4 linked regions of the Kluyveromyces lactis genome follow. The protein of the gene in region 2 purifies or fractionates together with the protein of the main gene of each other region. This does not show direct contact. Links are inferred from orthologs where the notes say so. Each region holds a gene or a part of one and is shown on either strand. Other genes may lie near its edges. The genes, in order: KIN28, RAD3, VMA1 and MET18.

Evidence for each region.
Region 1: the proteins of RAD3 (region 2) and KIN28 purify together in Saccharomyces cerevisiae (co-purification; 6 studies listed by BioGRID, with this or other methods). This does not show direct contact. The link is inferred for Kluyveromyces lactis from reciprocal best matches to the Saccharomyces cerevisiae genes RAD3 and KIN28.
Region 3: the proteins of RAD3 (region 2) and VMA1 purify together in Saccharomyces cerevisiae (affinity purification with mass spectrometry, with the first as the bait; 3 studies listed by BioGRID). This does not show direct contact. The link is inferred for Kluyveromyces lactis from reciprocal best matches to the Saccharomyces cerevisiae genes RAD3 and VMA1.
Region 4: the proteins of RAD3 (region 2) and MET18 purify together in Saccharomyces cerevisiae (affinity purification with mass spectrometry; 4 studies listed by BioGRID, with this or other methods). This does not show direct contact. The link is inferred for Kluyveromyces lactis from reciprocal best matches to the Saccharomyces cerevisiae genes RAD3 and MET18.

What each region holds. Positions count from the first base shown.
Region 1 is NC_006041.1:1,321,107-1,327,466, reverse strand, and holds KIN28 (TFIIH complex serine/threonine-protein kinase subunit KIN28), read left to right. Parts: upstream 1-2,791; coding exon 2,792-3,724; downstream 3,725-6,360. Other genes in the region: putative lipase ROG1, read right to left, coding at 1-1,133; MRF1 (Mrf1p), read right to left, coding at 1,367-2,557; KLLA0_E14763g (NAD(P)/FAD-dependent oxidoreductase), read right to left, coding at 3,804-5,006; MSS2 (Mss2p), read left to right, coding at 5,287-6,360. UniProt on the Saccharomyces cerevisiae protein: Catalytic component of the TFIIK complex (KIN28-CCL1 dimer) which is the protein kinase component of transcription factor IIH (TFIIH) and phosphorylates the C-terminal domain of RNA polymerase II during transition from transcription to elongation after preinitiation complex (PIC) formation, thereby positively regulating transcription.
Region 2 is NC_006039.1:1,575,768-1,584,241, forward strand, and holds RAD3 (TFIIH/NER complex ATP-dependent 5'-3' DNA helicase subunit RAD3), read left to right. Parts: upstream 1-1,555; coding exon 1,556-3,892; downstream 3,893-8,474. Other genes in the region: adenylate kinase ADK2, read left to right, coding at 590-1,273; ATP-dependent RNA helicase BRR2, read right to left, coding at 3,985-8,474. UniProt on the Saccharomyces cerevisiae protein: ATP-dependent 5'-3' DNA helicase.
Region 3 is NC_006042.1:525,740-534,348, forward strand, and holds VMA1 (H(+)-transporting V1 sector ATPase subunit A), read left to right. Parts: upstream 1-3,532; coding exon 3,533-6,616; downstream 6,617-8,609. Other genes in the region: phosphoprotein phosphatase 2A catalytic subunit PPH22, read right to left, coding at 184-1,266; KLLA0_F05379g (uncharacterized protein), read left to right, coding at 2,154-2,876; MRX19 (Mrx19p), read right to left, coding at 8,238-8,609. UniProt on the Saccharomyces cerevisiae protein: Catalytic subunit of the V1 complex of vacuolar(H+)-ATPase (V-ATPase), a multisubunit enzyme composed of a peripheral complex (V1) that hydrolyzes ATP and a membrane integral complex (V0) that translocates protons.
Region 4 is NC_006042.1:439,602-448,290, reverse strand, and holds MET18 (Met18p), read left to right. Parts: upstream 1-4,095; coding exon 4,096-7,185; downstream 7,186-8,689. Other genes in the region: TAO3 (Tao3p), read right to left, coding at 1-3,618; RRT14 (Rrt14p), read right to left, coding at 7,348-7,953; RSC chromatin remodeling complex ATPase subunit STH1, read left to right, coding at 8,608-8,689. UniProt on the Saccharomyces cerevisiae protein: Key component of the cytosolic iron-sulfur protein assembly (CIA) machinery that mediates the incorporation of iron-sulfur cluster into apoproteins specifically involved in DNA metabolism and genomic integrity.

The sequences.
Region 1 (6,360 bases), on a different chromosome or scaffold from region 2:
GACGAGCTGGATAAAGTTTGTAGAAGAGGCTGTTTAAGTCCATTGTATGTTTGTAGGCTGAGATCCTGTCCCGTCTTACCGGCAATACCCATTGCCAATAGCCGCTGGATATAAACTGCGTTGTCACTAACAATCCCAAGCATGGGAGATGCCATTGTTATGAAGTTTACAGGTTCAACCTGTTCAAAAAACTTTGGATAGTTGTAAGAGATATAAGCAATTGCGAAGGATTGAACCAATCCGCCTAATGAATGTCCAATGAATGAAATTTTTACAGTAGCATCATTGTATAGGTTATGAACTATATGTTCGGCCAACCGGGTCCCTAGCCATTTTATGCCTTTCTCTGTCTTGCATACATTGTCGGTGAATCCTTTCACAACTAGCATTTCCTCATGTTGGTTTTGAGTCTTCTCAATCTGTTCCTTGATATAAAATAAATCCGACGTAACGTTAGAGTGTAAGCCATGCGTAAGAATGACGAGATGCTCTTTTCGCCTACCAAAAACACTCTTTGAAAGCAACGATGCATTCCAAAGATCTGCGGTAGTCAGTCTATCCACTTTCATTCTTGAACTCTGTACCCCCAACTGGATATTTCTTGCTGAGTCCACACTTATTGATTCCTTACTACCACCTACGGTGATAGAAAAGTTTATCGATGCCTGTTTGGTAAATAAGATTTGGCTTGCAATGTCAACAATCCATACGTACCGTTTCTTCAAGTTGTGCAATGAAAGCTCCGCAATAAAATCCTGTTGCGGTTGAATATTAGACTCAAACTGAGGTTGATCAGCAGAAATGAATAATCTTTGTTTGTGGTGGTAATCCTTCGTTCGCACATCCGCGTACAACACGTAGGGCCCCATCAAATACGCTGCCCTGAGCGTCACGTTTTCAATGTTTTTGATCTTCAACCACAATGAATCCAACGTTAAATCACTGGGTATCTCATCTCCCATATAAAGGTCATAAGTGAAAATATATCGCTCTAGCTCCCCTATTCGCAACGACGACTGGAAATGGTACATGATATCATGATCTGATGCAGTCATTTTTAACCACTGATCCCGTTGGTGCTTTGCATTTTGTCTCATCGTTGAAGGGATTATGTATCTAAGCATACTTTGCATTTTGACACTTCAATTTCTCCAGTCAAAAATCGTATAATGGTTCGTATAAAGAACTGGGTGAGAAACAGCAACACACTATACACCAATACGTACCCTCGAGTGAGGTTTCACACTAGATTGATGTTCAGGGTGCTTTCTTCTATACATATATGCAACTTTATTTTATACTATTTACAGTGTAAATCCAATTATCATTCCCTGGCGCAGAACGGTGTTTCCAACTGAATATTTGATCAAGCTGACATGTCCTGAAGTAATTGCTTAGCCTTCTGCTCAGAACTAAACGCGTCCATAGCATCAATTACATCATCTAGCCTCTCACCCTTCATGACCCCCTCGATATCATATAGTGTGAAGCCACATCTATGGTCCGTGATTCTATTCTGTGGGTAATTATAAGTTCTGATCTTGTCAGATCTGTCTGTCGTGGAAACTTGATCTTTCCTTGCATTCCTCTCTTTCTCCTCTTTCTCAAGCCTTTCCTTTTCGGCCAACCTTGCTCGTAGGATAGCAAAGGCTTTGGCTTTGTTTCTGTGTTGAGACCTTTCTTCCTGCATTGAAATCACAATGCCTGATGGATAATGTGTCAACCTGACAGCAGAATCTGTAGTGTTGACATGCTGCCCACCTTTACCACTGGCTCTCATGACATCGATACGAATCTCATCTGGCTTGAAAGTCCTCTCGTATGCATCAGATTCACTTTCTTCACCCATTTTGGGTAGCACAATGACGGCCGCAGTGGAAGTATGAGTTCTTCCCTTTGATTCTGTGGCAGGCACTCTTTGAACACGATGAACTCCGGCTTCGAATTTCAATTTATCATAAGAACCTGGTTCATCTATATTCAAGATTGCTTCCAGGACTCCGCTACCGCTTGCGTTCTCAGTTTTTGATATTAGGTTCCATTTCCATTTATGATAATTTGCATAGTTAATGTACATGTTCAACAGATCTTGAGTGAATATCATAGCTTCAGAACCACCGACACCAGGCCTTAGTTCTAATATACTGGGTTTATCTGCAAAAGGATGAGGCGGTAGGAGTTTATTCAATAAAGAGTCCCCTGTCTTGTTCAAATCTGGGAGTAGTGCTGCTATGTCTGCTTCGGCTTCTTCTCGTAATGATGGATCTAATTCCAGTATCTCCTGTAGTTCTTTATACTGATTGACTTCTTCTCTGTATTTGGAATACGAATCCACAATCGTAGATAGTTTGGCAAAATTCTTCTGTTTCTCAAGATCGAAGGATCCACCCTGCGACAACAGGTCCTCTAACTCTCGCAATTCATTGACATACAGCTCTGCTCTTGATATTAGCGATGAGTGCAATGGTCGAAATTCGACGGCTTCAGAACTGTTAAATCTGACTTGAAGAGCCACGTTTCGAAAGAACTTTCCTCTTCCAAACAATTTTGAGATCATTTCCCCAATCGAATGTAGTTTTTAACTCTGAAGATCCGATGGTACTTCGTTTTGATTCACCATACACTTCTTCCTTTACATAGCATAATATGTATCAAACTTTCAAAGATTTTTCATATTTAATATAGAAAGGTCCAAGCTTCTGCCAACATGCAGATAGACATTTGATGTTTAAAGTCATCGTTGGATCTGGGAACTGATTCTGTCATACGGTAGAGCTCGAAGTTATAAACCATGACCCTAAAATCTACTGTTGATGACTATACTAAGGAGAAAAAGGCTGGTGAAGGTACGTATGCCGTGGTTTATTTGGGAACTAAGAAGTCCACTGGAAGGAGTATTGCGGTGAAGGAGATCAAGACCTCACAGTTCAAAGATGGACTTGACATGTCAGCATTACGTGAAGTGAAGTTTCTACAAGAGTTGAAGCATGTGAATGTTATTGAATTAGTAGACGTTTTCATGGCAAACGATAATTTGAATTTAGTGTTGGAGTTTCTACCTGCCGACTTGGAGATCATTATTAAGGACACTTCTATTATGTTCAGTCCAGCAGATATTAAGTCCTGGATTCTAATGACTTTGAGAGGTGTACACCATTGTCATAGAAACTTCATACTTCATAGAGATTTGAAGCCAAATAATTTACTATTAGCACCTGATGGTCAATTGAAAATCGCAGATTTTGGTCTAGCCAGACTAATGGCGTCACCACAGGAGATTTTGACCAGTAACGTTGTTACCAGATGGTACAGAGCACCGGAGCTCTTATTTGGTGCAAAACACTACACCTCTGCGGTCGATATCTGGTCTGTCGGTGTTATATTCGCAGAATTAATGTTGAGAATTCCTTATTTGCCGGGGAAAGATGATGTTGATCAGATAAACGTAACATTCCGTGCGTTAGGAACTCCTACTGATGCGGATTGGCCTGAAGTTTCTAGTTTTAGCAATTATAATAAGATTCAAATATATCCACCTCCATCGAGAGAGGAATTGAGAAGAAGATTCATAGCGGCTACGGAAAATGCACTTGAACTGATAAGTGGGATGATGATAATGAACCCTAAAAAGAGATGGGATGCAGTCAAGTGTCTACAAAGTCAATATTTCCAGGAATTGCCGGAGCCTACACTTCCACAAGATCTTCCTAAGCTCAATAAATGAAAATACCTAGATATATTTTGAATAGAATACGAGGATATGTACGAAAAAAAAGTTCATTATTGCATGTTATCTGTTATTCCTAACCGTGAAGTATCTTCTTCACGTATCTCCCGATTGGGATACTTGACGTTAAACCTGGAGATTCGATACCTAGCAGGTTAACAAACCCCGGGAATCCTTCTTCTTCTTTAATATAGAAATCTTTGAATTCTGTGTCACCTGGTGCTGCTAATTTAGGCCTGATACCGCAGTATGAAGCCTCTAATTCACCTGGTTGCAGATGAGGGAAATATCTTGTGATGGTTTTGGCAGCGTCTTCAATATTCAGCGGGTTTGGGATCAGATCATCCGCAGAGTCAACATATTCAAGATCAGGACCGAATCTCACTTGATGATTTAAATCAATGGTCAAATGAGTTCCCAATGATTTGCCATTTCTGGGAGGCACAGGATAGATCAATCTTCTCACAGCTGGAACTTGAGTCTTCGAAGTGAAATAATTGCCCTTGGCATAATATTGCTTTACCTGACGTTCAGGTGGTAAGATCATATTAGCAATCTTGTCTGCATATAATCCAGCAGCGTTGATAACATTTTCTACACGAATCTCGACTTCTTCTGCAGTACCATTCAGCGTTTCCACGCATTGGAGAGCGTAGCTAGATCCTAAAAATTGAATATCCTTAACTTCAGATCCAATCACAGTATCACCCCCCTGGTTATCAACCATAGCAGAGAGGTATTCTATCAAAGAATGTGAGTCGATGATACCCGTGGTTGGAGATACAAGTGCACTTCTTTCGACTATTACAGCTGGCTCTTGCCATTGAGTCTTGTGACTGGGCAAAATTTCTACTGGAAGATTTAACTCATATTTCGCTTTATAGTACATACGTTCAACATATGCATCTTCGAAATCAGTTTGTGCCACAACCCACTTACCACATTTCAGCCAATCGACACCAGTCTTCCTGGGATTCAATTCATTGTATATGATATGGTTTCCTTCAATACAAAACTTCGTTTTTAACGAATCTACTGGGTAATACAAACCAGCATGAATCACCTCACTATTACGGCTCGAAGTTTCTTGGCCAATCTTTGCATTCTTCTCCAAAACAATCACTTTATTGCCTGGGACTTTGGTAAGTTCGTTGGCAATAGCCAGTCCGACTACACCTGCACCGATAACAGCATGCGAATAATCAACAGGAGCCGAATAAAAACGTGAAAACAATGGTCGAATCAAAGAGCGACAATTAGCTTGGAATTTTAGCACCATTGATAGATATTGATTGTGTATTGACACCTACTTTCATGCCTTTAACTTAAATAATCGGACCTTATCCGATTATGTGTAACGGTTGGTAAAGAATCATTTTATAGAAACTCGAATTTTAACCAGGAAAGGATCAAAACCAAATACATCATCAAGTTCTTACGCACAAATGGATCAAAGGCAGACCTACAGGATTAAGCAGAACGTTAGGCTTTTGTGAGATCTTCCAGGCTTTATTCGAATCTTCTGATATACCCGAGAGCTAAAACTGTTTTTGTTCGAGATGCTTGGTTTTAGAAGCTGTATCTTGGTATCAAGCAGGAGACTGATTTCCAGTTTAGCCAACAAACGGCCACCATTGCATGAGATCTTCCCACAAAAGAAGATGGTTAGCAGGATATTGTTTGAGCTCGATAGTCGGCTTGCATACAATAAGCTATATCCTATGTATGAGAAGCTTTATGAGGGACTAGACACTGGTAATGATGTTGATATACCCAATAGCATCAAAGGGAAAGACTTAATGATAATGAAAAAAGTTCTTGAGAAAGTGAGGCATAAGACTAAAGCTATCAACAAGAACCTATTAGCCTTGGAGAATGTTTTGTTGGATAGGGCTGCTGAGATCGGAGACAATGATGCTATATCGCTCTTATGTTTTGATGTTCTAAAGGATCCAGACAGTAATACTGAAGATGACGTATCTCATGCAAAGAAATTGATTAAGAACCTCTATCAAATGAATCACCCTTTAACCGTCAAACTAACTGCTGATATAGCTCTGAAGAACCATGACGATGCTACTGCCGAAGTGTACTATATGAAATTTTTGGATTTACAGAATGATACTTTCTTAGCTGGAGAAGTATACGGTCAATTGGGCCAGATCCACTTTAGAAAACCGAATCTTATTGAAGCAGAGAAATGTTTCTTAAAATCAATCAAACTTTGTCCTATTGATTACTCGGTACGATCGTACTTTTTGTTAGGACAAATGTATGTGAATAACGATATATTTAAAGCCAGGTACTTAATTGAAAGCAGTGCCACCCAAGGCTTCAAGGAATCATTTAGAACACTAGGGTTGCTCGAAATGAATTACTTCAAGAATTACCCCAAAGCTCAGGAATGGTTTAAGTTGGGAATGGAACTCTATGATACTGAATGTTTCGTTGGCTATTTCGATTGTACAATGAAAAATAATGAATTATTGCTGGCTAAGAGATGTTATGAAAGTATGGAAAAGCTTGCTGAAAACAATCAAGATGTAAATCGACTCTTTGAGGATTTCAGCTCCCATAGAGCATCAGATATTCAAAAAATTAAAGAGTATAGCCCAAATGCTTCCATAAATACT
Region 2 (8,474 bases):
TTTTTTTCAGATCCTCTTTAGCTGCGCTTATTGATTCCAAAATATTAGTAAACTATAGTTACTGTAGAGCGTGCAGTGGTGCTGGTATGACCTTTTAACCTGGTGAGATGTTCATGAAGATGAGTTAGATGTAAATCCTTATGATCGTTGTTTTAATATCAAAAAACTCAAAACGCGAAAACGCGAAACTGGTGTTTTGGGGAGAGTTTTCGGGCCCATTTCTGGGGACCGGAAACTGGGGATGCGATTAAAAGACAGTACAGACAGCACTCTCAACCGCAGAGACCTCATATATAGCCATAACGCCCACAAAGGGTTTATAGATGATCTACTGGCCCTTCACAAGCTCTAAATCGCTGATACATGAGGAATTGACCGATATTTAGCCGTATCTTGTCTTTAACCCACTTTGTTACCCGGCCTTTTGCCCTTTTTCCGTAATCATTTGACCACTTAATCATTGAACTATCCAATCAAGTCACTTAACGATGAGTAACATCACTTCTGTTCAGTCTCTGTATACTTAACTTGTCCATTTGACGAGTCTCCGACAGCTAGCTAGACTGTTATAATACCAATTGTCCCCGCCATGTCAGTTCTCAGACCATTAAGATTGTTACTACTGGGTGCACCCGGTTCTGGTAAAGGTACTCAGACCTCGAAACTGTTGAAAGAATTCGGATCCATCAAGGCTATCTCATCTGGAGATTTGCTACGTAAACAGATTGAACATGGCACACCGTTAGGTTTAAGTGCCTCCTCGTATATTGAGAAAGGCCAGTTGTTACCCGATGATTTGATCACCGGAGTTGTGTGTGACGAATTGAAGTCACGTGGCTGGTTAAATCCAAATGCTACTTGGTTACTAGATGGGTTCCCACGTACCGTGGGTCAAGCTGAAGTGTTAGACAAGTCATTGTTGGAACACGATGCCTCATTAAACCTTGTCGTGGAGCTAGACGTGCCTCATGAAGTGATCTTGGAGAGAATCGAAAACCGTTACGTTCACGTTCCAAGTGGAAGAGTTTATAATTTGCAATATAACCCTCCCAAAGTCGACGGAAAGGACGATATCACCGGTGAACCTTTGACCAAGAGACCCGACGATACTGCAGAGGTGTTTGGCAAGAGGCTAGAACAGTACAACAAGACAGTGACCCCATTGAAGGAACATTACTTGAAGCAAGGTATTCTGTCAACCATTTCCGGTAACACTAGTGACATTATATACCCGAAACTAGTATCGCTAATCCTACAAAAATTCGCAAACTAATACTCTCGCTCTTAACCACGATAAACATGTAAATAGAAACAAGGCACGACCAGGAGCCAGTGCCATTCAATTAGTTAAAAATGGTTTACCTTCCCATATCTTACTTAATCATACATACTTACAGACTACTATGCTCAACATGAAAAAAAAATCTTTTAAAGAATCACTAAAGCTTCTAAAGCGTTGAATATAAGGTTTGAAGAGAGTTGATAGTGTAGATTCTTCTTGATTTGTGTCTTGAACCCAACAGCGGGTATCTCGAATACAGGTTCTAGCAGTATAATGAAGTTTTACATCGATGATTTGCCCGTTCTGTTCCCATATCCTAAGATATATCCTGAACAATATCAGTATATGTGTGATATAAAGAAAACCTTGGATGCTGGTGGGAATAGCATATTAGAGATGCCGTCTGGGACCGGTAAGACTGTTTCGTTACTTTCTTTGACAGTGGCGTATCAAATGCATTATCCTGAGCATAGGAAGATTATTTATTGTTCTCGTACCATGTCTGAAATCGAAAAGGCGTTAGTGGAATTAGAATCTTTGATGGATTATCGATCTAAAGAGCTTGGCTTTGTGGAAGATTTCCGTGGGTTGGGGCTCACCAGTAGAAAGAACTTGTGTCTTCACCCCAGGGTTAGTAAGGAAAGGAAAGGTAACGTTGTGGATGAGAAATGTCGACGGATGACAAATGGGCAAGCGAGGAAGAAAAAGGAAGAGAATCCGGATGCTAACGTAGAGTTATGTGATTACCATGAAAATATGTATAATTACGATGTGGCAGATTATTTGCCTCCAGGTGTGTTTTCATTTGAAAGATTGATTCGGTTTTGTGAGGAGAAACGGATGTGTCCTTATTTCACTGTACGTCGTATGATTTCGATGTGTAATATTATCATTTACTCTTACCATTATCTATTGGATCCCAAGATTGCAGAGCGTGTGTCGAAAGAGGTCAGTAAAGATGCTATTGTGATTTTCGACGAGGCCCATAATATAGATAATGTTTGCATTGAATCTCTTTCCCTAGATTTGACCAAGGATCTATTAAAGAAGGCCACTAAAGGTGCTAATGCCCTGGATCGGAAAGTCGAAGAGATGAAGAAAGTGGATTCACAGAAATTACAAGATGAATATGAAAAGTTGGTTCACGGGTTAAGAGCATCGGATATCTTGGAACCCGAAGAAGAGCCGTTGGTGGAAACACCAGTTTTGTCAAATGATATATTGAAGGAGGCAATTCCTGGGAATATAAGAAGAGCTACACATTTCATTTCATTTTTGAAAAGATTTATCGAATATTTGAAGACTAGAATGAAGGTTTTACATGTCATATCGGAGACACCAAACTCTTTCCTCCTTCATCTCAAACAATTGACATTTATAGAAAGGAAACCTTTACGATTTTGTTCAGAAAGATTGTCGTTATTGGTTAGGACCCTTGAAGTCGAGGAAGTGGAAGAATTTAACGCTTTGAAAGACATTGCAACTTTTGCTACTTTGATTTCTACTTATGAGGATGGGTTCCTCTTGATTATAGAACCGTATGAAATCGAAAATGCGGCAGTGCCCAATCCAATCGTTAGATTTACTTGTCTTGACGCATCGATTGCAATTAAACCTATCTTCGAACGATTCTCATCGGTTATTATCACTTCGGGTACCATATCCCCGTTGGATATGTACCCTAAGATGTTAAATTTCGAAACTGTATTACAACAATCTTATTCGATGACTTTAGCGAAAAAATCATTCTTGCCAATGATTTTAACAAAGGGTTCTGATCAAGTGGCAATATCATCTAGATTCGAAATTAGAAATGATCCTTCCATTGTTCGTAACTATGGTTCGATGTTGGTTGAATTTGCCAAAATCACACCCGATGGTTTGGTCGTTTTTTTCCCATCTTATTTATACATGGAATCCATTATTTCAATGTGGCAAACTATGGGTATTCTAGATGAGGTTTGGAAATACAAATTGATCTTAGTGGAAACTCCCGATGCACAAGAAACTGCTTTAGCATTGGAAACATACCGTAAGGCCTGTTCTAACGGACGAGGAGCCATTCTTTTGTCAGTTGCGCGTGGTAAAGTGTCTGAGGGTATCGATTTTGACCATCAGTACGGAAGAACTGTACTCATGATCGGCATTCCGTTCCAGTATACAGAATCTCGTATTCTTAAGGCAAGACTAGAGTTCTTACGTGAGAATTACCAGATCCGAGAGAATGACTTTTTATCTTTTGATGCAATGAGACATGCAGCTCAATGCTTAGGTAGAGTTTTACGTGGTAAAGATGACTACGGTGTAATGGTGTTGGCAGACCGTAGATTTGCAAGGAAGAAAAGTCAACTACCAAAATGGATTGCACAAGGTTTATCTGATGCCGACATGAACTTGTCCACGGATATGGCTATCGCCAATACTAAGCAATTTTTGCGAACCATGGCACAACCAACTGATCCAAAAGATCAAGAAGGTGTATCTGTGTGGAGTCATGCACAGTTACTGGCGCACCAAGAAAGTGTTAAGAAAAAGCAACATAACGGGTTTGTTGATTCGGATGTGACAGAAGTCAAGGATAATGACGGGGACATTGAAATGAAGGATTAGATAAAGGGATTCTACTCTGCTTATAGAAAGAATTTTATTTTAATTTATATTCACTGCATATATACAGTACTTTCTTTTTATTTATGCATTTACTATGCGATGTTAACATTAAATGTTACTTCCTTATCGGCATCCAAGTAAGAATCACATACACACCATATTGTTAGTTCATGATCACCAGGATCTTCCAATTCGATTTCCAATTCGTAGTCCTGGGTCATTTTTGTAAGCGCGATCTTCCTGATAGCATATAGCTGCCTGGAGCTCTTTTCACCGATGAATATCCACCATGCTTCAGTTTTTTCATGTGGCAACGACTTTGAGCTAACATTTAGTGTTTCTGGTTCTTCATCTCTACTTACTGTTACAGTAACCATTTTTTTGTCGTGAGGTTTCATCGGTGCTGACATATCTAGAGCATACTTCAACTCAATGTTTGGATAACTGTTGACAAATTCTGCGACTTTATTCAACTTATTTTCCGGTAAAGTGATGATATCTTCTCTTTCTTCATCCTCTAAAGCCATCACGTCATAAACTGTTTCTACATTATGGTTTTTGCATTTCTCCAAGATGTCTGTATCAAAGAATGGAATTTGTTTCAAAGGTGAATCAGTATCCCACACACCTTGAACAATCATTTGACTTAAATCCATAGCAGTAGTGGCATTCAAATAACCGTTCATTGACAATATATCTACCATTGTTCCTGCTAAGCTAGGTGCTTTTGAAAGGATTTCAGACAAATCAAGTGATAAGTCCATGGGTAAATGAAGACCTGAAAAATGGGCCTGCAATAACACAAAAACCTTGGCTGTTGTGGAGCGTGGATCGAATTCGGAGGACAACTTCAAAGGTGAAATGTCGTATAATTTTCTTAATGGCTTTATATCATGTAATCTAAGAGGCAATGTCTTAAACTCTTCACTTGAAGACAAAATTTCAAGAATACCGCTCATTCTTAGTGATCTTGATGCTGCTCGGCTAAAATTGCATATCGTTAAACAACTTACGGCATGGATAGCAGAAATAAGACAGGCATTATTCGGGGAAATTACCTCCTCTGCAATTTCTGTGGAATCGTTCGCTTCCCCTTCAACTGATATAAGCTCGGTTTCCTTCATGGTTGTTACTGCTTCCTCTACTAATTCTGTTAAATAGGAGGAAATTTCGTCTGCAGTCACATCTTGAATACCGTAGAAACTTGGATTTGCATGTATTCTACGATATAGATAAGTGTAAGTTAAAAGGTCGATACAGTCTTGCTTGGTTTCTAATGTTTGGTTTGCAAACTCCGTTGTAAGTAAATCAATAACATGGTATGGCAGAGAACTCTCCGTTGGTAACCCATCACAAAGGAATTTTTTATAGTATTCCTTCCTTTGCATTGTGGTGATTAGTTTTGCATGTGCTTGCTGTTTATTTGACGCCGTAAACGCTGTTCCCATCATCTCAAGAATAGTATTTACAGGATAATCGATGTATCTGTTCTCCCTGCCTTCAAAATATTGAGTTGTAGTAACAAAGACAAAACTTGATGAAGGGGCATCAAAACAACAATCCCTACTTGCAACCAAAATCGATATCACCTTGTATTCATGGAGCTTACGGACTACATTCCTATCGGAATAATGCATACCTTGGTATAGAATTCCTATACCACTTTGCAACAGTGTCTTGAGGTTGCTGTCCTGGACCTTGTTGAGATACGAGTGTAAACTGGATTCCTCTGCTCTAAGAAGATCAATGCCTTTAGCAACAGCGAGACCAACGAGTTCTGTCGCGAAAGAAACGCATTCATATCTGTCAGTGACGAAAACTGTTATAGTTTCATCGGGTGAGGCGACACGATTACTACTTTCAACGATCTCAGTTAGGGCCATTCGATTAGAAGTAGGGCTTTTTACTAAAATGCTAGTTTCGATATCGACTGTCAAGGGTGTTTGCCTTTCTAAAGCAGTAAAATTGAAAATACTTGATTTTTTTGCACCTAACCATTCTCCGAAATCCTTTGCGTTGGCAAGTGGGGTTCCAAGCCCCACAATCCTTATATTCTTCTCCAATTGTGTTGCAATGAAAATCATTCTCGTAATTATGATTTCATACATCGGTCCAATTATCTCGTTGCCTATTTCATGGATGTCATCACAAATAATTAGTTCTATTCTTTGAATGTTTTTTCTTTCCGGCCAGCGACGAGACAGGTATTCAAATTCATTCGGAGTAGCTAATATTAGATGAGATTGGGCTAATTGTTTTTGATCGTGCTGCAAATTTCCAGAAAAAGCATTGATCAGTTTTCCACCAGCCAAATGTGAGAATCGCTTTTTCCAATTCTTTAGAAGTTCAGTTATCTTGGTTTTGAATGGACAAATGTAAATCGCACGTCCTCTGCCTTCTCTCCAATGGTTCAATAATGAAAGTTCTGCCATTATTGTTTTACCGGAACCTTTTGTTGCACATATTAGTGCGTTTTCAGTTTCATGGTATAATGTATCGAAAACTTCAGTTTGAACTTTATTGAAAGAATGGAAATTGTATAACGCCTCAAATTCATCAATTTGTAGTTCCTTGGTACTTTTCTTAATTGAATCAGAAACAGATATTGCAGGAGGGAATGGTTTAGGTAATTTTATTTCACTCAAAATAACAGGAATCTTGTACTCACAGTTTAGCCATTTTTCTGATATAACGGATACAAAATAGTTCGGCGGTAACATTTTCTGCTTCAAAAATACAACAAAGTCAAGATACACAATGCTGTTTATTGCATTTCTCCCAACATGCAATGTCTCATGATAAATTGTTTGTTCACCGTCTGTGTCTTCGACAAGAACAAGGAATGTTTCAGAATAGCTGCTGGAATCCAGATCCCAGATCCATGTAGGTTGGAGTTCCAACTCAAAACGAAGTAGTGAATTTGTAACTGGCTGCATTGCGCAGTGAATGCCAATCTTCGGGAATCTTTGAAGCAAATCGAAAGCAACTTTACCATTTTTTGGAGATCTTAAGGCTTCGCCTACCTCATGAGCATTCTTCAACAGTAAGAAATCGTTCCAGGGTAAACCAGACGCTTCTGCTCGTCTTATGATTTCTTGAGGGCATCTCTTGAATTGCCTAAATGGTGAGTTCGTGGGCCACATTCTGCTATCGACGCATTTACAGATGGTAAGCAGAAGCTTGGTTAGTCTTGGCCATCCTTTTCTTAAGCACATTTCGAAGAGTGCTCTGAAAAGTCTACCTGCGCTCTGAGAAATGTAAATCATATCCGCATTTAAAGCGAACCCCTCCAATCGTAATTTTGAAATGTACACCTGAAGTAGAATGTTTGCCTTGGCTAATGAATCAGTAGCCTTCTCCTTGATCGGAATTGGACAACGCTCGACGAGTTTCTCTAATTCAGTTTTCTCTTCTTGTCTTACGGTAATGTTCTTAAACTCTTCTGACATAGCAAATATTCTCAGAATGTCGATCAAAGTGCTGTTTATTGTTAACTCCCGGTTGTATTTTGCAATTGACGAATAACTTATGTAGAAATGAGAGGATATTCTACCTAGCTCAGTTGGTTGTACCGACTTAGAAAGAGAGTCATAGTTTACAAGACCGTTATTCTGTAATAAATTCAACGCCGTATGCACAATATTTCTGTTGACTCTTATGAGCTCAGCATCACTCATGTCTCCTGAAGAACCTTGCAAGTTGTATAAATGAGGTGATTGCTTCATCCGTACTGATAAATAGGAATAACCCAACCAGTTAACTGCTTCATCTAGTGAGGTGACGTTACCTAGAACTATTTCAGCATTAAGATTATCAACAACTTTTGAAATCATTTGAGATTCTATAGGGAGTTGTTGGTTCAACACAGCGAGATAATAACGTACGTCTGATTGGTTTGTAATAATGATCCCTTCACCATTTACGTCGTATCTCGGCCTACCAGCTCTTCCTAACATTTGAAGGATATCTTGTGGGGGAAGCATGACCCAATCACTTTTCTCCGGTGAATACATTTCTGTACCTTTAATTATGACAGTGTGGGCAGGAAGGTTAACACCCCATGCTAAAGTTGCTGTGGAAACAAGAACTTTTAGCAAACCATCAGCAAAAAGGTCTTCGGATAAAGATCTATCATCCTTTGTAAGGCCTGCATGATGGATACCGAATCCATAAGGTATAAGGTCGGAGAGCGATCTATCAGTAGCATTACTGGATTCTGTCTTGAGGATTTCCAAGGAACCTTTATCGGTACCTTGGAACGCACTTATTTTATCTTCATTTATAAGTTTTTGAATAAGCCACCTAGCAGTTCTAGCAGTATCCTTTCTCGAATGAACGAAAATGATAACTTGGTGTCCTTCTTTTGCGGCCTCCAATAATTTATCATAGCATGCCTGGTTCATGGCATTCTTCTTCTTTAAAGCATTTTTCTCAGTGATGCCACAATACTGTTGTGCTAAAGGACATGGCCTGAAAGTTGAATCAAAATAAAATAAGCCATTATCAGGAACATGAAGGAACTTGGCCACGTCAATGTAGTTTGGTAAAGTGGCAGAAAGTGCAACAAGCCTCGTAGGAATTT
Region 3 (8,609 bases), on a different chromosome or scaffold from region 2:
TATATTTATTATAACAGACGTTATGTATTCAGTGATACCACATTACGAGCATTTAGATCATGTCTCCGTGTACGTTCCAAAAAATGATATTGCTAGTGAGGAACATAGGCGGGATGGCAACATTTCGTAGAATACCTATAACCTATGAAACAATCTTTTCCTGATAGATAAGATCCCAGTGAATTACAAGAAATAATCCGGAGTCTTTCTACTTACGGTTGGTTCACCGGGTCTTACGGATGGATTATACTGTAAGAACTGTCTATTCATCGTATCGTCAACTTCCATGATTGCTGCTTGATTACCACATCTATAACAGTAGTTTGGAGCGCTGAATATGGTAACAACACTTTGTTGATGAGACCAAGCATATCCTTCCATAACCAATTGATGTGCTCTCGCAATCAATGAGAGATCGTTTGTATGATTGAATTGCTCACTAATGTCTTGACCAAACGTGAAACCTGCACCTCTTGGACTTATACCCCAGCCACCTCTATCATCCGGGTCTGACCATAATAGATCACACATTGGACCTTCATGAGGAACCTCTTGTATTCTATTTAGTTCTCTGACTTGATCAACCGTTTCGATCATTGGTGAAAGGCCACCATGTAGACAGAAGATCTTGTTATCCACTAGTGCGGTAATTGGGAAATAATCAAACAAATCAGTAAACATTTTCCAAACGTTAGCGCTACCGTATTTCCTTAGACACTCATCATAAAACCCGTACACTTGTGTAATCTGCCTAGACTCATGATTACCTCTTAGAATTGTAATTCTGCTTGGGTAACGGACTTTTAGTGCAACCAAATATGAAACAGTCTCTACAGAATAATAACCTCTATCGACATAATCACCCATGAACAAGTAATTTGTATCGGGACAAGGTCCACCGATCTTGAATAATTCTATCAAATCGTGGAATTGTCCATGAACGTCACCACATATCGTCACGGGGACGGACACAGGTTGAACGTTGTCCTCAAATTGAAGCACATCAACCGCCATCTTACACAACTTGGCAACATCTTCCTCCGACAAACATTGACATTGACTCAACTTTTCTAACCATGCATCCAATTGACCGATACTAGACCCAGTCAGTTCCACGGGTTTCGTAGCCTTATTGTCAGCTATTCCTGACGTACCTGGAGACGAACTCGCCAATCCGTTATCAAAACCTGGAGCTTCTTCGTCTAAAGTTGAATCCAGTTGATCTTCTACTGCGTCATGCATAGGCACATCAGTATCAACATCCATTATGTAATGCAGTAATGTTTTGAATGTGTTAACCCAACTCTTTTATTCTAGCCGCTGGTATATTAGTAACAAATAAGGGTTTACTCCAGTCTATATGCACGCTTTGTCAAACGCCTTTGCCAAACACTTCCAAATGGTCCGTTCTTTCTTCAATTATTATTTATAACCTTCTTTTCCTAATTTCTCAAAATATTGGGAGAAAGAAAGTAGGGAAAAAAAATTAAATCAACAGAGAACAACAACGCACTCACAGAGGACGACGTTGTATTAGATAGGACACAACTGAGTTCAAATTGTTCCGGCTCAAAAAATCACTTGGCCTCAGAAGTGGTTGATATAAATGAAAGTTTAGTGAGATTCTACCGTTAACTGAACCTGGTATCGCTAACAATTTCGTAAAGAGTACGTATACTTTGTATATACTTTTTTCTTCCTATCTTTCTTCCTTTTTTGTATGGCATTTTTTTTGCTCTTCCATACTGTGTAGGGAAGATCGGAACACAGATAGTTACAGAACGGGAGATCTGGCGAGAGGGCGATACTTCCATATTACTTAAGCGGCCAATTTTAGGGTCTCAAAGACAAGAGCATCACGCACGACTGTATCAGTTGAAAGTAAGCTGTCTGAAAACATCATTGTTTTACTTTTACTTCCACAGGGAAGGCTGGGTTCCCTTTGTAGTATGTAATATTCTTCCGTTGAAGGCGGTAGGGTAACTATATATCAGTTCCTGTGTCACACAGATGTCAGCGATTCTTGGATTTAGATATAAACTGAACATGGCTCCTTCTGTGGATTCGAGACTGTATCATTGAAATACATTTCACTTGTTATAAGTGAACGATTACGTTCGGTGGTCTTTCAAATCCCCCAAAGGTTACAAACAATGACGGAGACTTTAGATCTTAGCAATAGTCGGTGGGTATTCGATCAAAGCCTGTTACAAGGTGATGCGCAACATGCAGAAAAATCTCAGGGTCAAAACTTGCACCATTCTGAAAAATCTGTTAGGGAGTTGGTTATTTCTAAACAACATACTCGTGTTTTCCCTGTGGATAACCAATTAATGGGCCGGATGGAGGATCAATTAGTTCGATGGAAACGACCAGCATCCTCGCATCTTGGCACAGTACAAGTAATCGAGGGCACTCATCCATACCAACAGGAACCTATTTCAATGTCACAAACGTGGTCCCAGATAAGAGATGCATTTTCGACAAGAATGCAGAGAAATAGTATCAATGATACACAAGAGGATGAAGAAGAAGATTTAGATGGGCTTGACTTGGGCAATACCGAAATTTGGAATTACAAAGACAAAGCATTTACTACTGAACGTATTGACACCTACCGTTCCAACATTATCGATGAATACAATGCAACAACGTCAATGACTGCAAAAGCCGTACCCGTAACGTTGAAATTACCAGCAAGAACAGATGATATGACGATAAATAGTCAGTACACGTATCACTACCCAATTCCACAGTACTACCTACCACATTCACAACAACAGCAAAACAACAACAATGTAACAAACTCTAGACAAATGACGCAGGCTTCTCAAGATGCATCCTTCTCTTGCTCCAGTTGGTTATGTTTTACTTGAGTGAGATTCGTATAAAACTGACGCGCGTCAAAAAAAAAGACGAACCATGTGATTAACTTTCATAGACAATGAAACAGTTTAGAAAACTGGAAAAAAACGCAAGATTAAAAAGTTCAAAGGAATTTAGGCTAATATTTATAATCAGTAAGTATCGATCTCAGGCACCTTTAAATACAATTGGTAACAGATGGCGATTAATACTAAAAAGATCAAACGGTTCATATTCTTTCACCTTGTTGTATTTCAATTTTTCATCGTTGACTTTTCAAATTCTGAAAAGTTACCCTGATAGAATTGATAAGGGGCAAACTGTGCTGATAACACTAGTATGAAAAAAGATTGAAATTAAGAATTTGAACTTAAAAGGAAACCATTATATGAATGAGCGCGTGGTTTGAGTATTGAAATAAATCCTGTAGAACAACGTTCATTAACTAGTTCATCGATACTGACCTTAAGATAATAATATCCTCGGAACAATTGACATTGAGATTTGTACCTAACATTACGTGGGTATCTTCCTCTATTATTTTTCTTTCTTTCTTTCTTACAGTTAATAACGTTTTCAATTAAGAGTAATTGATTGATTGGTTGATTAATTAGCTAATTTAAAGAAGTTATTAGGGCGTGCAAGTTTAGAACTACAGATATCAAAAATGGCAGGTGCATTGGAAAACGCACGTAAGGAATTGAAAAGAGTAACCCTTGAAGACCATGAGGAGAGTGAATATGGTGCTATTTACTCTGTTTCTGGTCCTGTGGTGATTGCAGAAAACATGATTGGATGTGCCATGTACGAATTGGTTAAAGTTGGTCATGACAACTTGGTGGGTGAAGTCATTCGTATTGATGGTGAAAAGGCTACAATCCAAGTGTATGAAGAAACTACAGGTGTTACTGTTGGTGACCCTGTTTTAAGAACTGGTAAACCATTATCTGTCGAATTGGGTCCAGGTTTGATGGAGACAATTTATGATGGTATTCAAAGACCATTGAAGGCCATTAAGGATATCTCTCAATCTATCTATATTCCAAGAGGTATTGATGCTCCAGCTTTGAGTAGAACTATCAAATGGCAATTTACTCCTGGCAAGTTCAAAGTAGGCGACCATATCTCAGGTGGTGATATTTTCGGTTCCATTTTCGAAAACTCTCTTTTGGATGACCACAAGATCTTGTTGCCACCAAGAGCAAGAGGTACTGTTACATGGATTGCTTCCGCTGGTGAATACACCGTTGATGAAAAGATTCTAGAATTGGAATTTGACGGTGTCAAATACGATTACTCCATGTATCACACATGGCCAGTGCGTGTTCCAAGACCTGTCACCGAAAAGCTCTCTGCTGACTATCCTTTACTCACCGGTCAAAGAGTCTTGGACTCTTTGTTCCCATGTGTTCAAGGTGGTACCACCTGTATTCCAGGTGCTTTTGGTTGTGGTAAGACTGTTATTTCTCAATCATTGTCTAAGTACTCCAACTCTGATGCAATCATTTACGTTGGTTGTTTCTCTAAGGGCACTGAAGTAATGATGGGTGACGGTAAGGATGAATTGATAGAGAACATTCAGGTAGGCGATGAAGTAATGGGTAGAGATGGACTTCCAAGACAAGTTGTTGGCTTACCAAGAGGTCATGATGACATGTACCAAGTTACCGAAAAATCAGAGGACAATGAAACCGCCAAGATTAGTTTCCAATGTAACAGCTCACACAAGCTAGTTCTTGTCACTCCACAAGATATAAGACTAACAGAGTCTAAGGAAAAGGTTACCGTTGCATTCAACAGATTGGCAGACATTTCAGTGGGAAATGGTACTGAATCACGCACTGTTAGACTAGTTGAAAGAGCTGAAAAATCTTTTGCTAATGCTGAAAGTAATCAAGCTATCATAAATGCTGCTGAATTTGTCACTACTATTGACACGACATCCATTGAATGGACTTTGGAGGCCAGGGATATGTTGTTGGTAGACTCTTCCATCCGTGAAGTAACTCAACAGTTGATAAACCCTGTGTTGTTGGAGAAGGAACACTTAGCAGGCGTCTTAAAATCAAACGATTTCCAATCTTCTTTGGCTCCACAATTTTCGTATCTGTTGGGTGCTTTCGTTGGCTCCTCCGGTAAGGACAACTCAGAATATCTTCAACAACTGTCTGCTCAATTCGATAAAAAGATTGTTGCCGAAAAGTCTATCGATGTGCAATCTAATGGGAAGACCGTTGGCACTGCTAGCATTGTTATTTCTCAAGAGCCAGTTCAAGAAAATAAACGCAGAAAGGTCGCTCAAGTCAGTCTTGTCTCCAAGATCGTTCAAGAATCTTTCTCTAGCGGCATCCCATCGTTCATGATGTCCGAAAACATCAATGTTCGTGAAAGTTTCTTGGCAGGTATTGTAGACTCTCAAAACCAAAAGCTAGATGACACAGTCGCTCTAAAAACACTATCAGTCAAGACACATGACGGTATTGCGAGATTGGCGCGTTCTTTAGGTATCCGCGTTTCCGGTAAGAAACAAAACCAAGAATACACATTGACTCTTTCAGGTGATGCTTTGAAGAGTGTTTCAAATTGGACCTCCACTTCGAACATCGAAAAGGTTGATGTAATTCATAAGGCTCAACCTATCTCTTTCGATTTAGAAAAAATTGAGTCTGCTGATTATTTTGGTGTCACTTTAGCTGAAGAATCAGACCACAAATTCTTACTATCAAACATGACTTTGGTTCACAACTGTGGTGAAAGAGGTAACGAAATGGCTGAAGTTTTGATGGAATTCCCTGAATTATTCACAGAAATTAGTGGTAGAAAGGAACCTATCATGAAACGTACCACATTAGTTGCAAACACTTCTAATATGCCTGTCGCTGCTAGAGAGGCCTCCATTTACACTGGTATTACATTGGCTGAATACTTCAGAGATCAAGGTAAGAACGTTTCTATGATTGCCGATTCGTCTTCTAGATGGGCTGAAGCTTTGAGAGAAATTTCAGGTCGTTTAGGTGAAATGCCTGCTGATCAAGGTTTCCCAGCATACTTGGGTGCTAAGTTGGCCTCCTTTTACGAAAGAGCTGGTAAGGCTGTTGCTTTAGGTTCTCCAGACCGTATTGGTTCCGTTTCTATTGTTGCCGCTGTTTCCCCAGCCGGTGGTGATTTCTCCGATCCTGTTACTACATCAACTCTTGGTATCACTCAAGTGTTTTGGGGTTTGGACAAAAAGTTGGCTCAAAGAAAGCATTTCCCATCCATCAATACTTCTGTTTCTTATTCCAAATATACAAATGTCTTGAACAAATACTACGAAAAGAACTATCCAGAATTCCCAGTGTTGAGAGATCGTATGAAGGAAATCCTTTCGAACGCTGAAGAACTTGAACAAGTTGTCCAATTGGTCGGTAAATCTGCTTTATCCGATGGTGATAAGATTACCTTAGATATTGCTTCTTTGATCAAAGAAGATTTCTTACAACAAAATGGTTACTCTACCTACGATGCATTCTGTCCAATTTGGAAGACTTATGATATGATGAAATCATTCATCTCTTACCACGATGAAGCTCAAAAATCTGTATCAAACGGTGCTAACTGGGCAAAGCTATCTGAAGCAACGCGTGATGTCAAGCATGCTGTCTCTTCATCGAAATTTTTTGAACCAAGTAGAGGTGAAGAGGAAGTTCATGCAGAATTCGAGAAATTGTTGACCAATATTCAAGATAGATTTGCTGAATCAACCGATTGATCAAACCTAAGTAAATTTTCTTATGGTTCCGACCGCACCCCATCCTTACTTTGTTTCACCTTTTACACCCTATATAACATAGAAATTCTTAAACAAAGAAAACAATTCAATGTTTGAGATTATCATCAAAAAAGAACTAATTAATTAATAAAGTACTTTATTTTAACCACATCTTGATACTGAAGACGAACAGTCCGACCTGTAAGGTCACAACTATGTATAAAAATTAATAAAGTAGCATTTGAAAAAGCGGACTTGAAATATTGAATTAATACATAATAGAAGAAATACTTAACTATTTTTTACCATACACGTATTCTACGCTTTCAAAGCCAAGTATGGATGAAGACAGTAATTGATTGAAATCAATTGAGCTTAATACAATCTGACAATTGAACGCCTAGTGAATTGATTTAAAACGTTGACGAAAAAAGACATCCTAGAGAAAATTAGGATCACAATAGCACCAACAATACCAATAATAATTAGGAAAGGGGGCTATGAGAAAATCACTTTAGAATAGTTCTTATTTTCCATTCAAAACCTTTCCAAACCCAATATATCACAATTTGCAACGGATTTATTATAGAGACTAGATGAGAAATCATAAACGTTAAAAAGGCAGGAAAAACCATAATCACAATTAAATAGAAACCAACAGCATAAGAGCATTGTTCAATGCACTCGCCATTGCGCAACTAAATCTTTGCAATTATCTCGTAATGAGAAAAGTTCTTTCCCTAGTTTATTGATTCAGTCCGCTTATTTGGATCTAGCTCTCACCTTCCGTCTCTTTCTCTTAAGTCTTCTAACTCTCTTCTTTCTCCACTTAGCACGCATTTCGGTGATGAAATAGGTTTCTAAGTTCTTGACTTTCTGAGAATCAAAAGAGAATATATATAACAAATTACATAAATACAACTGCAACAAGAATAAACTAAATTAGAACCAGTGAATATATATATGATTTTGGAATTCTCTTCAAAAAATCAAAGTGTTAGGAAGAAAGCATCCATATTTAATTTGTACCAAATCCTTACCAAGGTTTTTTTTTGCAAATATTATGTTTGGTGGTAATTTTTCACTCAAAAAAAAGTGAGCAATTCTCTACGGTTGTGTATGGAAAGCGGGTGAGCAAGGAGTTTCAGTGCGGGTAACAATATACATGTTAAAGCAAATGAGGGCACACAGGTTAAGTACGTAAAACAGGTCAAAATAGCCTCATTTCGAAGCCGTAAAAAAACCTTATAGTCAAAACGGTCAATCTGCAGTCAGTGGTGGTGATCTTTGGATCTTATTGGCTTGTTATTGGTGCCTCTTTTGGTATGTAAGTGATTTATCAGGGCCAACCCTTATATCTTGAAGCTTTGGGTTGGGTATTCGATTTCCTATTTCGGTATTATAATAAACTCTTTGATTGTCCGATTGACCAAATTTGGGTGTAAGGGTGTTTAACTGGTGTATGGGTGTAAGCAGTCCTAAGTTCTTCGGATGTCTAGCATGTTTGGCATATTATTCGGTCATGTCCCTTTGTCACTTCGGTTATTTATTTCCTATGTGAATGCACTATAAATATATATAAATATATCATCATATAATCATATATGACGCATCACTAGTTTCATTTGTGGACGGACTCTTGTCGTATTGCTTTTCTTAAATCAGTTGACATCTCATGAATTTCTAAACTATCTAAGACTCTGTCTAAATCATGTTCCGAAAGTAATAACTTTTCTCCATCGGATTCATGCTTTTCCTTCTTGCTTTCCTTTAAAATGTCAGAATACTGTTCCAGGTTGATAAACTCGAACTTTTGTTCCTCGCTAGTGATTAATGACTCCAAATGTTTGGCTCCGAAATATGCCTTCAAATTGCAATATAATCTGTAAGTTAAATATATTCCTGGTACGTTGGGAACCACAGGTATTAGAATCAATGGTAAAGAAATCGGAATCCCAAGGGCACAGAGAAGTGCGTGTTTCTTATGATATTG
Region 4 (8,689 bases), on a different chromosome or scaffold from region 2:
CCAGTCATCTGAGTTAATCAGTGGATCTTGTAAAAATGGAGATAATATTACTAGAATATGGACCATTTCCATTCTCATAACATTGTTGGAGCTGTTTATGTTCCAGCTTGTCATAAATTGATCTATACTTTCAATGTATGCGCGGTATATGTTGATATTCATTGCACTCAAACCAGTGATTACTGCAGATTTAATAAAGTTTTTGTTGCAGTTTAATAGAGGCAAGACCATTTTGAAAACAGAAGTAGCAGATTTGATTTTTTGATGCTGAACGGTGAAAATTTGCTGACTTTTCTTACGGCCATGCTGTCCAGTAGCCGCTGGAATGTGTAGTTTTTGGTCATTCGTTGAAGTAAGAGAGCTGCAAGCCACAATTAGATAAAGCTTCCATTGATTTACTACAGCTTCGGGCAGTATATCCTTGAACTTCTCAGTGGAGTTGCTCATTATTGATAAAATTAGTTCATAAAGTTGCACTAAACGAATGCAGACGATGGACCTGCATAATGCCATAGTTACTGGTGATTGTTCAAATATGTACGTTAAGAGTTTTGGAAATACTCTTTGCCAAAGAGCCGCATCGACCCCATATTCAGATTCACAAAGTCTGACTAAGATGTTCGTCTTAGATTTCATGGTTAACTTGACAAGTCTAGACTTTTCGGCCACACTAAGCGATTGCTTCTCAGGTTCTAGCAGTTTTGGAATATCATAAGATGGGAGCATATCGATCAATCTTGATCCACTTTCCGCTACCAAACGAGAAGAAGATCTTGAGTGACCTTTATCATATGTTGTTGCCTTTTGCATCAACGCTTTATCGAATTTGGAAGTCAATTGAAGAATTTGAATTGCTAATCGGCGGATAGAAGCATCGGCGCTGCAGAGAAAGAATAAACCGTTGCCTTCGACATCTTCCACGACAGTTTGGGTATTTTTCCATTCAATTTTCTCTAATTCATGATAATTCGCTTCCAAAGTTTTGGGGGGCAGTTTCATTCCATTGAGAGCGGCATCTGATTCTGATTGTTGGATGTCGTTCTTAGTAAAATCTTCGAGCCAGCATTCAAGCAATTCGACGTATAGTGCAAGCAATGTTCTGTATTCTGCGGAAGAAAGATAATACAAGCTATACCTTGATTGTGTCTTTTCATCGAAATCAAATGAGTATTTAGCGAACCAAGTTATTAGGGTGTAGGGATTCTTTTTGGCAGCTAATACTTTCAATGCATTTTGGGCACTTGTCGCAATCAGCTGATCTGCGTGGACAGCATTCCTGGATAGAATTTCAATCGTAGATTTGAATGGAATGCTTTGAGACACTGACAAACAGCAGGGCAAAACCTCAATAAGGGTTGCAAAAAGTGCCATATTCAGGCTTCGTGCATAATTTGCACTGTTATCATTATTGATTCCGAAACCAAAATTTGTGATATTTGAGAAAGGTGTGGAAGGTTGGCGACGGTGTTCATTTTCCGGTGACCACACCTCTGATCCTATATTAGAATCAAGTAACATGAAAAGTTTGTACAAATACTTCACAAGTTCCTCATGATTGGCCCAATTTTTATCCGAAGAATGTACCGATATCTTATTCAAGTCAACTTCATAGAACCTGCGTTCTCCATCAGGGAATATAGGCCTTTCTTTAGTCATAAGTAATCCTCTATAAGTATTGATGACTAGTATCAATTTTTCATGTGCAATATTCTCTAAATTCGTCCCATTAAAGGAGGATTTCATCAAATGTAGAAGAACATTTTCAAATACGAAGGTAGGATGAACGTATCCCACAGTCACGAAAACATCACATAGAGGGTTTATGATATCCATATCTGTCGTGATCCAGTTCTCCTTCTTCTTTGAACTCAAAAATAACGAGAACAATTTTGTCAACGTTTTGTCTGTATTGTTTAAGGTTTCAGTACATCTGAAAAGATAGACCCATATCAACCTTGAAAGGCCCATGGAGAAAGCAACACGATCTTCTAATGACTTAGATTTAATTTTGGTAACGTTCTTCTCGATCAAAGATAACCAGTTTTTGGAAAACAATTCAGTATCTGAGACACACAACACTGCCACGGTCAACTTGAAAGCAAGTGTCCAGCATTTGCTGTCAGTTTGAAGTTTTTTACAGGTAGCTAGGATCGACGTCATTGCTTCTATCCACGTTGGATGATTAGCCTCTGCTGTCATTGCTCCAGCCAACGGCAATAAAAGTTGACTTAGTACTTCAGCATAAGCCAAACGAATAGAAGTGTTTTGGGACGGAGCAAAGAACTTCGAAATAGATTTGATGAACCCTGCACTTTCCTCAAACATTTCTAGAGGATAGTTTTTAAGCCTCAAATAACGCATTCCTAGGATTAAAAGGTGCACAGAGGGCTCTTGATCACGGGGAACTTTGGGAGGGATTTTTTCGAGATCTGCTATAAATTTATCACTGACAGAGATAAACTTTTTTTCACTCATCCAGCCTAATAATTCCGCGAACGAGTTCCAATTTGCTGATTTAATTAGCGTTGAAGACAGTGATGATGGATCGGTAGTCTTCAATTGTGTGAAAACGATACCTTCAAGCTTCGTACTTAACTCATCATCAAAGTCCATAGGATTCTGCTTGACAATCTCGATCAAAACACGACACAAAATATAAATGGTAATAAGAGATTTTCTATCGGCCTGGAAAGCCATTTCTTTTGTTCTCTCTACCTGGTTCTCTAATGATGCAAATTTGGGATCTGAATGAGAATTCAGGCTTGTAGAGGACTTTGATGAGGTATTTCTTCTATGTGTCAACCTGCTGCTAGCTGAGCTAGATGATTTTGAGTGAGTTCGACTAGCTGCCAGAACTTGCTCATTATTCTTCACATACTGCTCATATTCTTGCATGATTTTATCCAGTTTTTCCGCTGCTAAAGCAGCTACTTCAGACTTTGTCTTCCTCCAAAACATCATTGCATCTATTACCGGTTTCGCATTTTTCTTGGAAATGAAACCCAACGATTCTATAATTTTGTCAAATTCTATATCCTTGCCTTCTCCTAAAATTTCTATAATTGGAGGTTCCGTCTCTCTCGGATATTGTAAACATATATTAAGCTTCATCTCGGCAAATCTTACGAACTTTGTGAAAAGAATGTGTAATGCGTATTCAGACGGACTTTTCCAGTCAGTTGCCGATTTCTGTCTTAATCCGGCAACGTATTCATCGGGGAATGAGGATGTACTATTAGCAGATGCAGGATCAGGTCTTGGTTGCTGAGATACCTCGTTGATGCTGTAATTTATATTGTTTGTAATTTTGTTCGACAGGTTATCTCCCGGCTTGTTCAATTGCAATGCATTGATATGGAATTGTTCTGGGGTCACACCATTAGGATCTACCGGTGGAATGTCTATGATATTCAGTGTCTGTTGAGGATAATCTGTATTGCTATGTTGCACAGCCCCCTGGTCAATCTGGGTGGAAGGATACTGTTGTTGCTTTTCAACCTCTACTTGGTTCACATTCTCACTTGGAAACTTAAAATCATTACCCATATCATCAGAAAGTAAGGTACCATGTGCCCTGTTTTCTTTCCCCACTGGAGGAAACATAAACCCAGAGTTCATGTCCAATTGTAAGTTGTGGATATCTGGCAGTATTGGACCTTTCTTATTATGATTTAAAACAATTGGAAAGCGAATTTTCGTGACAATAGGCCTTTTGATAAAAGCACAATTCAACCCAAATTCTCGTATTCCATAAACCTTGGGAACACGATCAATTATGAATAACGATCTCTTACCGCGTAGACAGCAATTCTTTCTTCCACTCCCTTATGCAGATCATTTCATCGTCATCTCCTACTGTTAACTTCACTGAATTGTTATTCTTGATCTGGTCACATGATACGGAGTGTTCCGGGTAATCAAATAATTAAGCCTAATCGGAAGCATTGCACATATCAAAATCGTAATGTGGAATAAAACCCAACCTTAGTCAACAAGAACGAGTAAGAACTCAACGAGTTATTTAGTGCTTTAGCATTCGATAAACTTGTCATTGAAGACCGCCCTATCACTGTAAAATATTTATATCGTACCATAATGGCGACAGACTATACAGAAGATAAATTGAAAGCAGACATTGTCAGTTTTATGGCTAATGCAAAGGTTAATACTTCTGTGGCAGACAAATTGGCCAATACGATCGCTGATGAGGTAACTCGAAAGAGCATTGAATTGTTACGAATTGTAATATTTTTACGAGAGTACTTAACCTCTGATGACGATAGCACCAGACAAAATGCATTGAGCTGTTTATCTTGTATATTGGAACACATTTCACCAGCGGTACTAAAGAAGAATGATGTTTCAGTGATATTCGATTTCTACCAAAGTAAGATGGAAGATTCAGGCTGCATGAAAGAAACACTACAAGGGATCAACTCATTAGTACTAATGGACTGTTTTTACGTTAGTCACGTCGAAAAGCTGTTAAAACTTTTAGGAAATGACTATCAACCTACTAACTTTTTGGCTGCGACTAGATATTTCGGATTCAGGATTATGGATAATATACTTATCAAATTCAAATCCCAGATGTTGGGCAATCTCAAATTGAATGACTTATATATCGAAACTTTTATTCTTGTTGCAACTGGTGAGAAAGATCCTAGAAATCTTCTCATATCTTTCCGTTTGAATTCTGATATTAGCACCGGTTTACGCAACATTGACAGTTTCAAGGAGGAATTATTTGATATATTATTCTGCTACTTCCCAATCATGTTCAAACCCCCAAGTAATGATCCATACAAAATTACCAATAATGATTTGAAACTAGCCTTGAGAAGTGCCATCACTGCCACGGAAAAGTTTGAGGAGGATGCTTTTGGGAACCTCTTAGATAAATTGGCAGCATCGTCACCAACTGTTAAAAATGATACTATACTGACCCTCAAAGCATGTGTGGATACATTCAGTGGAACATCATCTTTGAAACACTGGCTGCCAATTTGGGATGCCCTAAAGTTTGAAATTTTAAATGGCACAGACCCGGAACCTTCAATCCTCGATACTGCAATGGATACAGAAAACCAAAACTCGAGACCAGAAGGAAATATTAGTAACTACTCGGATTCGCTCTCTATTATAACTTCATTATCTTCGAAACTCATCGCACTAGATGAACATGCATTTGATAAATTTTTTAATCATATATTTGATGAGTTTGTTCCAAATTTTGAACAAGATAAGGATTTAAAACAGTGTTGTGACCTGCTCGCTTCAATTTCTAAAGTGAGCTTGCAAACATTTAATAAAGTCATGAAAAAAGTGATTCCAGTGCTTTTCATGGATAAAGACTTAGATGCTTCTAAACAGAAACTCTTGATTCTCAATTTGGCGCCATTTTTTAGCGCTTATATTTCACTCTTTGGCGAGACCGGTAAAGAGATTTCCAAATTCCATGCTAAGAATGAATTACAAAATCACAAAGACAGCATATTAATGGTTTTCAGCAAGGCATTAACTGGTACATCCAAAAATGAAGTTACCCTGAGGACGCTTGCTATCATACAATTCACCACACTAGTTAAAATGTCAGGTTTTTTGGATAGCGAGGAAATAGCGATGATTGTCCAATATTTCACCGAAACAATTTTGACTGACGAGAATAAGAATATATACTGCGCATGCTTGGAGGGTCTCAAGTTTATCAGTGTGTTCAATGAATCCATTATTTATGAAGTCTCTTTGAAGTACATGTTACATCTACTTCCTGATAATGAAAACATGGTTCCAATCACATTGAATAACACTGATATAGTCCCAATAGAGCGAGTTTTGAAGGTCATTCTCGATTTCACTACTTCAAGGCACCATTTGGTCAAAGAAAGTATTGTTGGTCTTGCTTCGAAATTAAACCTCATTGTAATGCATCCAAATTGCAGCGATTATTGTTTTTTGATTTTGTCATGTCTTTTTTCCCTTTTGCAGAATAACATTGATGAATTCGACCAGAACGTTGTGCAATTCTTGAAGGAATCGATGGAAGAGACATTTTTACAAAACTCTTTGAAAAATGATATGATATACCTTGATGACCACTCCTTGAGCCTTGCGGCTGGAGTTTTATTTCAGCTTAACATAAAATCTGATGTCTCAACCCATCAAAGTGAACTTATTACCTATAATAAATGTTTCTTGGATGAAGAAAGAATTTTTGATTCTGCTCAAAGATCTATTGTGATTTACTCCAGGCTTTTGGCAGCTTTGGATAAGAATACATCTTTTGAAGCCGCGAATGATATATTTTCAAAAGCCATTGAACTCATTAAGAATAATGAAGCTCTCCCAACTTTCGAATCTCTAAATTACTTGGAGTTCTTGGCGCTATTATCAAATAAATGGGTTACAGAATCTTACATAGAAAGCGTGCTGGACCTAACTGACACATCTATTAAGAATCTTGAAATAATATGCTGGATTAACAAAGGTTTGGTCATGAAAAATTCAGTTCTTGCAACAAAATTGACGGATCATCTATTTTCTCTTTTAAGTGACGAGAAGTTTGGCAATAAGGTTGCTCACCTCTTTGAAGTTTTAGTTCTTGACCTTCTAATTTTTCAAAGATTTAAAAAGGTGTCATGGAATAACAATATTCGATTAATTTACAAGCAGAAGTTTTTCAATCACATTGCACAAAAAATGGTAAACGCCTTCAAATCTTCTGATAATATGACCATTAAATCGAATTATCTTACCGCAGTTTCTTTAGTTTTAAAGAATACTCCATCAAATATCACCATATCGTATATCACGGACTTGTTACCTCTTCTTCTTCAGGCTCTTGAACTAGAGAATATCGAAGTCAGAATATCATCTCTAGAGACACTAAAAAATACTGTGAATCAAATGTCTCAGTTGGTTACTGAACATGTCCATTCGTTAGTTCCGCTGTTACTTAACTTATTGGTCCCATCGAAATATAGTAACGTGAACGTAAGATTTCTGTCATTAGAAATTCTTCAGACTTTAACAACCAGTGTTCCCCTTAACTACTTGATCCCCATGAAGAATGAAATTATATCAAAACTTCAAATTGGTTTAGATGACTCGAAGCGTAGAGTGCGCAAACAATGCATAGACACAAAACAGGCATATTTGGAATTAGGACAGGTACCATTTGAGTAGTTCTACTTCCTTCAAATAATGAATATACTTAATTAATATATATGAACCGACAATGAACACTTGAGTCTACTGAGTATTTGATCATATGCTGAGAGAAAAAAACACACCTTTGTATGAGCCGCAATGAAAACTCCGTACCTGTACGTCTTTGTAAATATGAGCTCAATAATCTTCATCTTCGTCTTCTGATTCCTCCTCATCGCTCGCACCAACTGGAGCCAATCCAGGTGTGAGAGCTTTATATCTGTGGTCTTGTATCGATTGTGGTAGCTTCTCCTTGAACTGTTTCTTCTTTTGTCTCCTAGATTTTACCTTCCTTACCTTCTTTGAATCTTCTGAGTTGGCAAGTATTTGTTTCTGTAAATCTAACAGTTCTTCCTTATCGTCATAATCCCAACTTTTCAGGTTGCGAACATTTTTCTTCACCACTTTATCCAAATAGGATTTCTCATGATCCGTAAGAGAATTATCTACTTGATGCTTTCTTAGTACTTGTAGCTTAGCCTTCTGTTCTATATCCTCTTGGACTTCTTTTCTTCCAGATATCTTCTTTCTCAACATTTTCTTCTCCCTCTTTTTGATCCGGTATACATCCTTTTCTTGTACCTCTACTCTTTTCTTCAAGTTCCTATCTATTAGTTGTGCTTTCGAGCCTTTGTCTCGGCTTGTTTTCTTTCTTTCTGCATTAACCGACGCAGAACCCGGCAGTACGCTTTGCAACAATGCGTTCACAGCGTTGGTAGCATGAGCAGCTGCAAGAGATGACATTATAATCAGAGAATTTTAGTTCTTCAAACCTTGATTGTCAATACAGAAGACACTTTTGTAACAGTTCGAAGCACTGTAACTATCTCAATCGGGGAACTTGATAGTTCACTCTCATCACATCTCATCTAATCTCATCTCATCTCATCCATGGCGTATTATCCAAATTTTCATTTTAGGTCATGAAATATTAAACAAGAAAAGAAACAATGGTGCCCACTTTAATGCGAATATTTTGGCACGTGATCGAAGTTGGTTTATTACCCGGTTCTTGTTGTTGTTACCCGTACTTTGGCCCATGGCAATAGTGAATGTCAAAGAAAAAAGTAAACACGATAAATAAAATTGTGAAAAAGAGGATGAATTTGAAAACAGTTTGATTTTATTCTGAATTTAGTTTTGACACGAGAAAAGGACGAACAGAGGTTTGTTTTCAACACGGCAACGGCGGCTAAAAAAATAGACGCACCGAAAGCGAAACAGTAAAGAATTCTAGGGCAATAGTACCTGTTTGTATCGCGTTAGCTTTGTGACAACTCTGAATTTTTTTAGCAGGACTTCAGTTATTGTTTTACCCCCTTTCAGAATAAAAAAGGTTTAAAGCTCACTAGCGGGAAGAGACCTGGATCACGTTAAGAAGTGTGAAATAAAACAACAATGGATCAAGTCGTCGTAACGAATAACGCGGATACAGCGCCTCCTTATCCGCTTCCTATAGTGAATTCTGAGAATGTTGATA